Linked DNA regions of Ovis aries. The protein of the gene in region 2 interacts with the protein of the main gene of each other region in a biochemical or structural test. Links are inferred from orthologs where the notes say so. Each region holds a gene or a part of one and is shown on either strand. Other genes may lie near its edges.

Region 1 (5,822 bases), on a different chromosome or scaffold from region 2:
CCTAACAAAATTCCTGAGAAGTAGGATCAGGGTGGGATTATGAGCACTTTGAGCAACAGTTAATAAACCATCTAATTATAGATACATATTTGTTCTTTCTTACAACTTACCAGTCACTATGGCACAGGTATGGACCTTCATAGATGAGGAAAGGGAGGCTTAGAGAAGTCAGTTTGGCTCCTTAGGCCTTGCAGCTAATTAGCAGAAGAGCTAGAAGGTTATAAATGAATTATTATTATTTTTTTATGACAGAGACAACTGTCGATTTAAAATAATCTGACATAAAAAATAGTCTTCCGAGAGCAGCAGATTCTTTTCTTAACATTTTGAGGTTTTTATTCCCCCTACGGCAGGCAGGTCATTCCTGAACCCGTAAAGCACTAACCAGGGTTAGAGATAAGAAAGACACAAAAGAGAGCTAGTGTCCCTCCAGACTGGTGGTTGGGAAGGCACTCCCCTATGGAGGGGCCCTTCCATTGCATGATTTATTTCCCCAGGGCCCAGTGTAATCTAAGCATCAATGAAACACAAAATACCATGTTAGGTTTTTTTAAAAAAAATATTATTATAGTTAGTATCCAAACATATGATTTACGCAAACCAAAATTAAAGAAAAAACTCAGCCACCATCCTAGTCATGTGAGCACTTCAAACCTTTTCTTTTCCTGCATTTTTTACTGGTTGTACTCACCCTGTTCAGTTCAGTTCAGTCGCTCAGTCGTGTCTGACTCTGTGACCCCGTGGACTACAGAGCGCCAGGCTTCCACGTCCATTACCAAAACTCTTGGAAATTGGTCAAACACATGTCCGTCGAGTCGATGACACTGACAGTGTAGATATGTATTTCAAAGAATCAGGAACCCAAATTTTTGTTAAGAGGAAGTCTCAGTTTTAAGAACTATCTTCAGATTTTTTCATCCCTACTGAGTTCATGTTTGTTTACTGTTTTCCCTTAAATTTATATCTTTTACATCCAAAGTACATGTATACAGCCTGGTTTTAGCAGATTCTTTTGGATTGTTTTCATATAACATACAGCAGAGAATGTTATTATTTTTATATGTCTACTAGGACTCCTGAAATCAAACACACATCTGGGATCTTTTCAAAATTTCTAAGCATCTGAGTGACTGAGGGATTGCTCTGTCTGGAGATAGGAGGCTGAAATGATGACCTATATGTATTTTCTTTCTCAGCTTTTAGACCCCTTGATTCCATGACAATTCTTGGTAGGTACATGTTTCCTGGTCCCTCACAATTACTTTATGAGTCTTAATAAAGTTGGAGTTTCCTGTTGAGGGCTCGGAGGGGTTTAGGTGGGTGGTAAGAACGCTTGTTTTCCTGGTTAGCGGATACGCCTCGGGCTTTATAAATTGTGTTGTACTGTGGTAACTGCAGCCACACTGCTGCCATGGGAAAGGACGGCAATTTGGATGAGATAATTCAGTGGCCCATGGAAATCTGACTGGACAGTGGCTTAATGTACTACACTTCCTACCTGTAACATCATACCTATTTCTTCAATTTCCTTCAATTGAAATGAGGAATAAATGTGAAACATAATCAATTTGATGGCTTGAAAAAAGTAATCTTGTTAAGAATACTAAATGAACAATTCAGAATTAGAGGGACTTTTAGAAAAATTGTATGATTATTTGAATGGCGTTTGTATTGTAGCTGAAGAATGTACAGCGGTCCCCCAAACTTTTAATCCAAATTCTGACACCAAAAATTCTAAATCCAGTCTAATGCAGTAGTACAGAGTGTATTCCCATTGATTTCTCACATTCGTGAGACTGTCACACGTTGGTTGGTTTTTTCTGTCACGAAATTCTTTGTATCACTTTTAGAAAACACCACCTCTGTCTATAAAAATGACTGGAAATACCTAAAATTGTAAAACGGCACGTGTCTGGGCAGAAAAGTCCCGTTCCTCACAGGCGAGCCTGCACCTACTTCTGCTCCTAGCAGGTAAACCGTCAGAGGGAGAAGCCAGGTCAGCCCATAGGAAAGCCTGTCGTGGGATTTCTCATTTCCCCTTAGGCTGATCACTTTTAGGAGCAGTTCCCGGGGCCATTCTCTCGTCCAAAGTCCTGGCTACCGGATCACCTGTTGTTTTTTTTTTTAAACCAGTCGGCCACCCTCGAGTCTCCCTGGCAAAAGCCCCTCGCGGGAGGACTTCCTCAGGTCACCTCCCCACTCGGAGCAGTTCTCGGCACCCGCACCCACTCCCAGCGCGGGCGGGGGCGGGGGCGGGGTCCCCAGGCCACGCGAGACCTCGGCCCCCCGCCCGGCGCCCGAGGTGCTGAGGTGCGCGCTGGGGGGAGGGCGCGCGTGCGGGGGGAGGGGCGCGGGGCGGGGCCTGCGCGGGCGGGGGCGGGGCCTGCGCGGGGCGGGGCCTGCGCGGGGCGGGGCGGGGCGCGGGCGAGCGTGTGTGGCGGGGGAAGCCATTGCCTGTTTAATAGTTGCTGCTGCTGCACTTCCGCTTCTCTCCCGGCGAGAGAGAGACACGAGTGGCCAGGCCCAGCCGCAGCCGCAGCAGCAGCCGCCGCGGCGGCACGGAGCAGCCAGACACAAAGAGAGGTACGGGGATCCCCCGCGCCGCCCGCCGGCCCCCGGCCGCGCCGCCGGGCCTCGGGGCCGCCCCTAGCCGCCCGGGCGGCCGCCGGGCGCGGGGCCGGGGCTGGGGGACGGCGGGGGGCCGGGCCCGCCCGCGGGGGGATGGGCGGGGACCCCGGGCCGCGTGGGGCGCGAGGGCCGCCCGCGGCGGGGGCGGGGGGGGGCTGCCGGGGCTCGAACTGTCAGCGCGGCCACGGGGGGCTCCCGGGGCCGCCGAGGCCCGTGGAGGGGGAGGGGAGGGGCGCCCCGTGTCCCCGAGGCGGGGGCCCGCGGGGCTAGCTCCCCAGGGCGGCCGCGCTCATTGTTACCCCTCCGCCGGGGAGGCCCCGTACCCCGACCCCGGCGGCGCCCTTGCCAGTGCTGGGACCCCCGCCCGGCCGCGCCCCCGGGGGCCGGCCCGGGACTGGGGGGGGGGGGCCTGGCCTCGGCGCCCCCGCCCGCCGCCCGGCTCCCCACCACCCACCGGCGCCCGCTCCCCGTCCCCGTCCCCCCTTTCGGCTTCCTCCCTCGCCCCTCCCCGGCCTCCCCGCCCCGCCGAACTCCGTTCCCGGCCCCCGCGACCCCCGGGGGCCGCCGCACACCAATCGAGGCCGGCCGGCCCGGCCCCCGCCCGGAGGGGAGCCTCGAGGGCGGCGGAGGGGCGGCGCGCCGCGCTCCCGGCCGGTCCCCACCGCGGCCCCCACTCGGGGCCAGGAATATAGACAAACAGCCCGCGTCCGACTCGCAGAGGCCGTGATGGGCCTGGAGATTCGGGAAAGCGCGTGGAGGGCGGGGGGGCGGCCGGGGCCCGAGCCCTCCTGACAGCGCCCGAGTTCCGTGTCTACACCGGCCTTTCTGTTTTGTCTCCCTCCTCCTGCAGGGGCTGTTTGCGGGGTGGGGCGGGGGGTTCGCTATGTCGGATGACGATTCGAGGGCCAGCACCAGCTCCTCCTCGTCTTCGTCCTCCAACCAGCAAACTGAGAAAGAAGCAAACACCCCCAAGAAGAAGGAGAGCAAAGTCAGCATGAGCAAAAACTCCAAACTCCTCTCCACCAGCGCCAAGAGGTACCCAAACCCCACCCCCGCCCCCCAAAGCAGGCTTCCTATTGCCCGCACGGCCTCCGGTTGCATTGGGTCCGCTTCCAGTGAGGGTAGCTTACACGCTCCTCAGGGCTTATGTGTTCATAAAAAGGGAAAAAAGGACCTTGAAAGCCCGAATTATTTCTCTCTCTTGCTGCTTCTGTTTTTACTTCTGATCATTGTCTCCATGCAGCTGTTGTGGCTTGCCTTCCCCGTATCTTGCTGCAGTTTGTAAGAATCCGCATGAGTGTTACTAGTGACCTCCAAATCTGATTTCAAATTATTTGTCCTGTTAATCACTAATCTGTGACCCTCCCCAAGACTGTCATCCCACTTAATTATTAATACCTGCCCGGACAGCTCTATCACGACGATTTCTATCTCTGTCTTACTGCCTTCTCACCTGTTGCACATAGGATCTCTCTTTGAATAGTGCTTTCTCCACACATGGCGTAAGGAATAACTAACTCACGTTAGCAGAGTGAAAAATTTAATAGATGGAGATGGATGTTTTCAGATGGGATTTAAAGAGATTTTTCTGATTTAGAGAGTTGAGGCAAATTAATGAGTCAATAAGTGATGTAAATTAGTTATTCTAGGCTGTTTTGGGGATTCTTTGTGTTTTTTTGAGAACCTCCACTTAAATTTCCGGGAAGCTCAAATTTTTTTTCATGCTGTTTTCTTTTATGCTGTAAACAAAACAAAAACACTTTTGTCAACACAAGTTGAATTCAAGCAGTAGCTCTTTTTCTTTTTTCTCTCCCTCTTATGTCTCTGATAGAAGTTACTTTTAATCTCCATCATCCTTCAGTAGTATCCTCTGATCCTCACGAGCCTTAGTCTACAGCAGATTCCTTGGAGCCTCCATTCCTTTTCATAAATCCGGTTGTCCAGTGTACAGTCATTAAACTTTAAAGTGGCAAACCAGGAAGATAATAAGGAATTGAAATGGTAGCTTAGGTAAAGATGTCTGTCTTAAAAGATCGTTAAAAAAATGGAACAGGAGGCTTTAAGTCTCTCCACTGAGTAGTGAGCCAAAACTTTTAGTTAGAAAGTTTGTCCTGTCATTTTCCCTGAAATTTGGAAAGTTGATAAAATGCTTTGGTGACCTAAGCACAGGAGATGAAGAAAAGACTCTGGCTTACTGTAAACAGTGTATATGTGTAGAGTTACGTGGCAAGGTGCCTTGGCAAGATTCTCATTTTCAGCGAGGTTGTTTGATCGCATCTCAGCTTCCCAGGAGTCCTGAGCGGCCCTCCGCTATCAGCCCTGTGCTGGTTCTCCCCAAGCCTGGCATCTCCCCTGCCTGCTTTGGATGGACCCTTCTCTTCATTCCCCCTCCCTTTTTCTGGGCTCTCTGATCCAAGCTGAGGGCAGCTTTTGGCCTGACCTAAGGCAGAATATTTGCGTTAGTTCATTAGCACTTTTATATTTTGCTGGATTACCCTAGTGTCCAGGAATATATTTGGGGATAAAGGCACAGGTGTCAAATATAAAATTGTCTGCTTTATGTAAGCAAATTAGAGACAGTTTTTTTTCTTCATTAGACACAATTTGTCCATTTATGCTACGGGAGTTAAAAACTCATTTGGAAATGCCTGGGAAAGAGATGGTAGGTGTAAAATAAATGAAAGGTGGGACGCTTCCAACAGTAATTTTATCAAATTAACATCAGCTTTAGCTCCCTGGGAATCTTGCTGAAAGAGTGGCTGTTACCATAAAGCAGAGCTGTGGTTAATAGTAAAGGTGAAAAAACAGAGGAGGCCTCATATCCACAGAAGAACAAGGGGAAAAGAGGTCACTGGGACCCTGTAGCTGCTGGTCTGGGAAATTGATTTGGAAGGTAGGAATAGAATTGGGATGGGCACATATACTAGGAGATGGAAAGAAAGAAGCCTGAGTTGGCCCACAGAAGGTTACTGAACTGCATATTAGAAGGAAGCTGTTGGTTTTTAGTCCACAGCTGAAGGAAAAGCCCCCACTGCTGGTGGACTGGATAAGAAATACTCCGTGGAACATGTGTGGATTACTCTTAGAAATCTTTTCCCAGTATTCTAGAAGTAGTATGAATGTTTGCTGTAGAAATGAAGTGGATAAAGCTGTCTGGTATCTTTTTTAGGTATTAAAGAAACAGCTCCCTTTTC
Region 2 (4,676 bases):
ATTCTCACTGGCAACAGAGGAGGCTCTAAGAATCTTTCAGGAGAGCTATTTCAGTGGCATAGCAAAAGTTTTAAGCAGCATTTCTCACAGGGGCATATCTGCACCAAAATCGTCCTGCAATTGGTTAACAAATGCCAACTACTGGATATGAACAGTAAAGAAGTAAAAGACTGAGACTCTGCACTTTCTCTAGACTCCCCCAGGAAATTCTCCATACACTAACACTGTGGGTAAAAGAAGGAAAGAGAAAGAAGTTGCATTTTGAATCCTCTATTGGCTCAGGGAAGGGGCAGGAGTTTAAGAGATGGTCCTTAGAGGTTGGTGGAAGGTCAAAAAAAGATACCTAAGGTAAACGGGTTAAGGGGATCATGACTACAGATGGAGTAACCTTAGGAACACTGGCATTTCCCTGGTGGCTCAGAGGTTAAAGCGTCTGCCTGGAATGCGGGAGACCAGGGTTAGATCCCTGGGTTGGGAAGATCCCCTGGAGAAGGAAATGGCAACCCACTCCAGTACTCTTGCCTGGAGAATCCCATGGAGGGAGGAGCCTGGTAGGCTACTAGTTCACGGGGTCGCAAAGAGTCAGACACGACTGAGCGACTTCACTTTCACTTAGGAAGACTACCCTTCCTGAGTCTGCATGAAAGTCTTGAGAAAAGCCCTTGAAAGGGCCTGAAATCCCAGCACAGTCTTGCTCTTACAGTGAGCGATGCTGCCAGGTTACACTCATCCTTCCTTTCTAGTAAGATGGATGTGTACCGATAGGGGAATGAATACCATCAGCAAGTTTTGTTTGAAGCTTGACTTCACGTATCTCCCTCCTTAGTATGTATCCCAAAGTAAAGCTATAGAAATTGTCGTTGGATTTTATCACACAATTAAGCAGAGCCCAGTAAAGTTGTATAGGGTAGGAAATCCAATTCATTGGCCAAAGCTACCAGGCTCCATAAAAGTTTGGTCATAGTCCCTGTCTTTACTGTATGCTTGAGATATTCTGTAACAATGATATGTAGGAGAAACTGTGTATTTCACCTGGAACACCAATTAGTTTTCAGTTTTTTATTTCCTCCAGAGTTTCCTGGTCATCTGGGACAAAGAGTACTTTATAACACGACATCTGGGATAGAGGGAGTAACCACTATAGTCAAAATTTCTATTTGTTCCCTCTTAAGATACTATTCAGGGAACATTTTGTAGACAGTAGGGGAAAGGAGGCAATGAGAAAAGAAGTGGTAAAATGCCCAGGACAAACAGAAACTGAGCAAGTGAGAGCAAGTAGTCTGGACAACCAATGAACTTTTCTCTTAGAATATTTTCAAGGGTAGGTTTATTTTTAACTGTTTGTTAGAAGTCTATTTGATATGAATTCTATACCTGAAGATCTGTACTCAATGACCATTCAAAAACTTCACACAGATGTGATTACAATTGGATAACTTCAAGACTGCAGTGATAATAAAACTTGAGAACTGAAGAACACAAATTTCTTCACGAATTTATTATACAAAAAGCCCCCAGAGTATTTGATTTCTCGTATTCTCACTTTCATTATACACAAGAAGCACAGGAATGAGAGGCCTTTTCAGGTGACTGCGTAGCATGAGGGTCCCTTGAATCCAGGTAGTGTACATATTTTTAACAGTGTTCTCGAGGCTGGCCCAGAAAACCCCATGTTGCCTTATCACAATATGGAAAGTAATGTTTTCTTTTCCCACTAAATTATTGTGAAAAATGTCACTGTTTTATTTAGCATTATGGTACATTAACAGTTAAGTCTCAATTACTAAAAGAACTAAAATAATTCTGAAAGACATCCTCTTTCCCCTTCCAATGATTGAAAGCTGTATTTTTCCTGCCAATTTCAAACAAATCATCAAACTAATCTGTCATGGTCAGTTAAAACAATCGAGGTACAAGCTCAGCACATGAGCTGTAACTTGTAGCAAAATGATATATCAATATGTCTCTCCTCAGTTAAAAATACATAATCCTTTTATTTTATATCGCAATAAAAGAAATAAACATCACAGACACAGAAGACTAGAAGGGGAAACTACTTACTTCTGAAGGTCTAGTAATTTAAATCTACCTGTACTTTTCCACAGTACGTGAAAGTAGTATTTAACACTTTTTGAAATAAACTTTAATCTTTGGGGACAGACGATGTAAATAGGACTTAAAAGACAGTTCCATTCATTTCCAAGTCTCTGCTTACTGTATGATTAAGTAAAGCAAGGCACAACAGCCATTCTTTCCACTATGTTCCAACACTGATCATGTGCCTTGATAAAACGGCTGGCTGGATAAGATGATGGCGACAAGAAGGGAAGACTTTGGATTGTCTAAAATGTGGTTAATAAGCAAAGAATAAAAAATTTAAGTGCACTTTCACATGCTTTACGCTTATAATAAACAACAAACTTATCTTTCTTGCGAAGGGGTTGACTATCATTTCTTTTGGCCAAATGCACTTTTCCCCAATAAACTTAAAACAACAACAAATCCCTGTCCTTCCATATACTAAGAAGGAGGATTAGCTACTGAAACAGTTCATTGCAAGACACATGAAGACAACATACTGTGGCATGAGTTGTTTTTAATTTGTTGTGCTGTTACTAAAGTAAAGTTCTGAGGGCTGCAGTTAAACATTCCAAGTTCTCCCTTCCATCTTTATTGATTTTAAGATTTTTGCACAGAAGACTCTTTGGGGACTAGAACAGCAGCAATTGTATCACACTGTTTTCAAGACTTCCAAGTTTCAAAAGCAAATTGTTTAAAAAAAAAAAAAAAAAAAGAAAATACAGCTCCTGATTTGAGTTAGATACAGGGACCAAAAAAAAATAGCACATACTTGAAGGTTACATGGTCTACAAATGGTGGCAATATTTTCCTTGGGAGGGTAGTTTGTTGGTATATATTTTTAAATATGCAAAAAGGCTCAACCTCAAGCAGTAATAAACACAAGCAAAAGTGATTTAACCCTTAAAATAAATATTCAGAAAAACCTCTCTGTACATACAAGTGAAAGAATAAGTAACACTTTCACGCAAAAAAAAAAATAATAATAATAATAAAGGATTTGTTCATATAAGTAGCTGAAATCTGCTGTTCCAGCCCATATATCCCCAATAAAGAAGGGAGGCACAGACATAGGTGACTACTGTGGTTCACTATTTAACAGCCTTTTTGTACTGGGACACTATCACCACCAATTTTATCCCTCTCGTTATATTTATTAAAATTTTAAATTTCTTTTTCTTTTCTTTTTCTTTCCATTTTTTGTTTTTTTTTACAGCATGCCAAATCCTTTGGCATAAGTGATGGCCTTCAACAATCTCTCTTTAAGTTTTTCTTTGCTTGAATATTCCGGAAGTAAAAGGACATTAAAGCAAGTATGAGATGTAGGTAACCTATATAGAGAGAAAGGGGAAAAACAGGAAAGTAAGTCATGGGACATACGCTCAGTACTAAATGATCCTACTTTAGATGGTATATACATTGAGATGCAAAGCACACTACACATTAATGCAAGTCATAAACTTTGATTTTGCCACACAGCTACCAAACAGCAGTTTGTCTTTACCTCATAAATTACTCAGTGCTAATAATGATGATGGTTGACAATAACATATTCCATCCACAAAGTTATTACCACATACCAGATACTGTTTTAATAGGTTCTTAATCCAGAGAGCTCATTTAACTAACCTTCCTCACAGTAAACCTACAGATGGTCAGTTTCCCCACTGTAGAGTTGAAATCACTAAGTAGTGACATTAAGTGGAGACAATATTCAAATCTCAGTTCTAAAATTCCAGTCTGGGCTCTTTAGTGCTTATTTGAAATATTCCTGGATGACTATGTAATTGATTTGATAATAAATAAATTTACATTAATATCAAATCATGTAGAACACTAAAAGAAATGTTTCTATGCATTTAAATTATTAAGTATACTACTGCTCATATATGGCCACTACACACCAAATGTTAACTCACACAATAGAGGAAACACGACTAATGTAAGGACACTGAAATTGGTGGTACTAGCATAATCTAGGGCTGAACAATCTTGTGAACTTCAACTTGACTATTCTAAATACATGACTTAATATGGCTTTCAATTAAAAAATTCTCAACCGAAAACTTTAAGAATCATACCAATTTATAAAATTTCAAATCAAGTGAACTCTGTAATTTTTAACCTGCCCAGTGTGTAAAGATTTTCTTGAACATTAGCAGCAAAGCACTGGCTAAACTAACATTTTATGTGACTTGGAAATTTCTATTAAAAACTGCAAATGTGCTCAGAAGCTTCTGGATAGATCACACATGTGTAATAATATGGAAGCCAAGGTTTTCAATATATAGTCACAATTTAATAATTACCTTTCTGTGTCTGGACCATTTTTGGCTATTATCATCTTCAATTTTCCTAGTCCGCCCACAGGTGCCCTGTCTGTGCCTGTTGTAAACTGCAAGAAGAGTCTTTTCTGCTCATCTGTAAATGAATGAACAATTTCCCAGAACTCCCTAATGAGAAAAGATAAAAATACCGATTTTAGTTTGGCATTCATTATTGCTAGCACTAATTTAAATCTGTGATTTTCATTAAAACCATAATAGGAGATAACTTGGAGGTCAATATCAAGAGCCTGAAGGTTCTTTTCTGGGGAT

Evidence for each region. The genes of interacting proteins can lie anywhere in the genome.
Region 1: the proteins of UBE3A (region 2) and UBE2E1 form a complex in vitro, tested with the Homo sapiens proteins (2 studies listed by BioGRID). The link is inferred for Ovis aries from reciprocal best matches to the Homo sapiens genes UBE3A and UBE2E1.

What each region holds. Positions count from the first base shown.
Region 1 is NC_056079.1:41,468,654-41,474,475, reverse strand, and holds the start of UBE2E1 (ubiquitin-conjugating enzyme E2 E1), read left to right. Parts: upstream 1-2,420; 5' UTR 2,421-2,583; intron 2,584-3,478; 5' UTR 3,479-3,511; coding exon 3,512-3,663; intron 3,664-5,822. UniProt on the Homo sapiens protein: Accepts ubiquitin from the E1 complex and catalyzes its covalent attachment to other proteins. Catalyzes the covalent attachment of ISG15 to other proteins. Mediates the selective degradation of short-lived and abnormal proteins.
Region 2 is NC_056071.1:1,613,099-1,617,774, forward strand, and holds the end of UBE3A (ubiquitin-protein ligase E3A), read right to left. Parts: intron 4,533-4,676; coding exon 4,389-4,532; intron 3,411-4,388; coding exon 3,290-3,410; 3' UTR 1,484-3,289; downstream 1-1,483. UniProt on the Homo sapiens protein: E3 ubiquitin-protein ligase which accepts ubiquitin from an E2 ubiquitin-conjugating enzyme in the form of a thioester and transfers it to its substrates.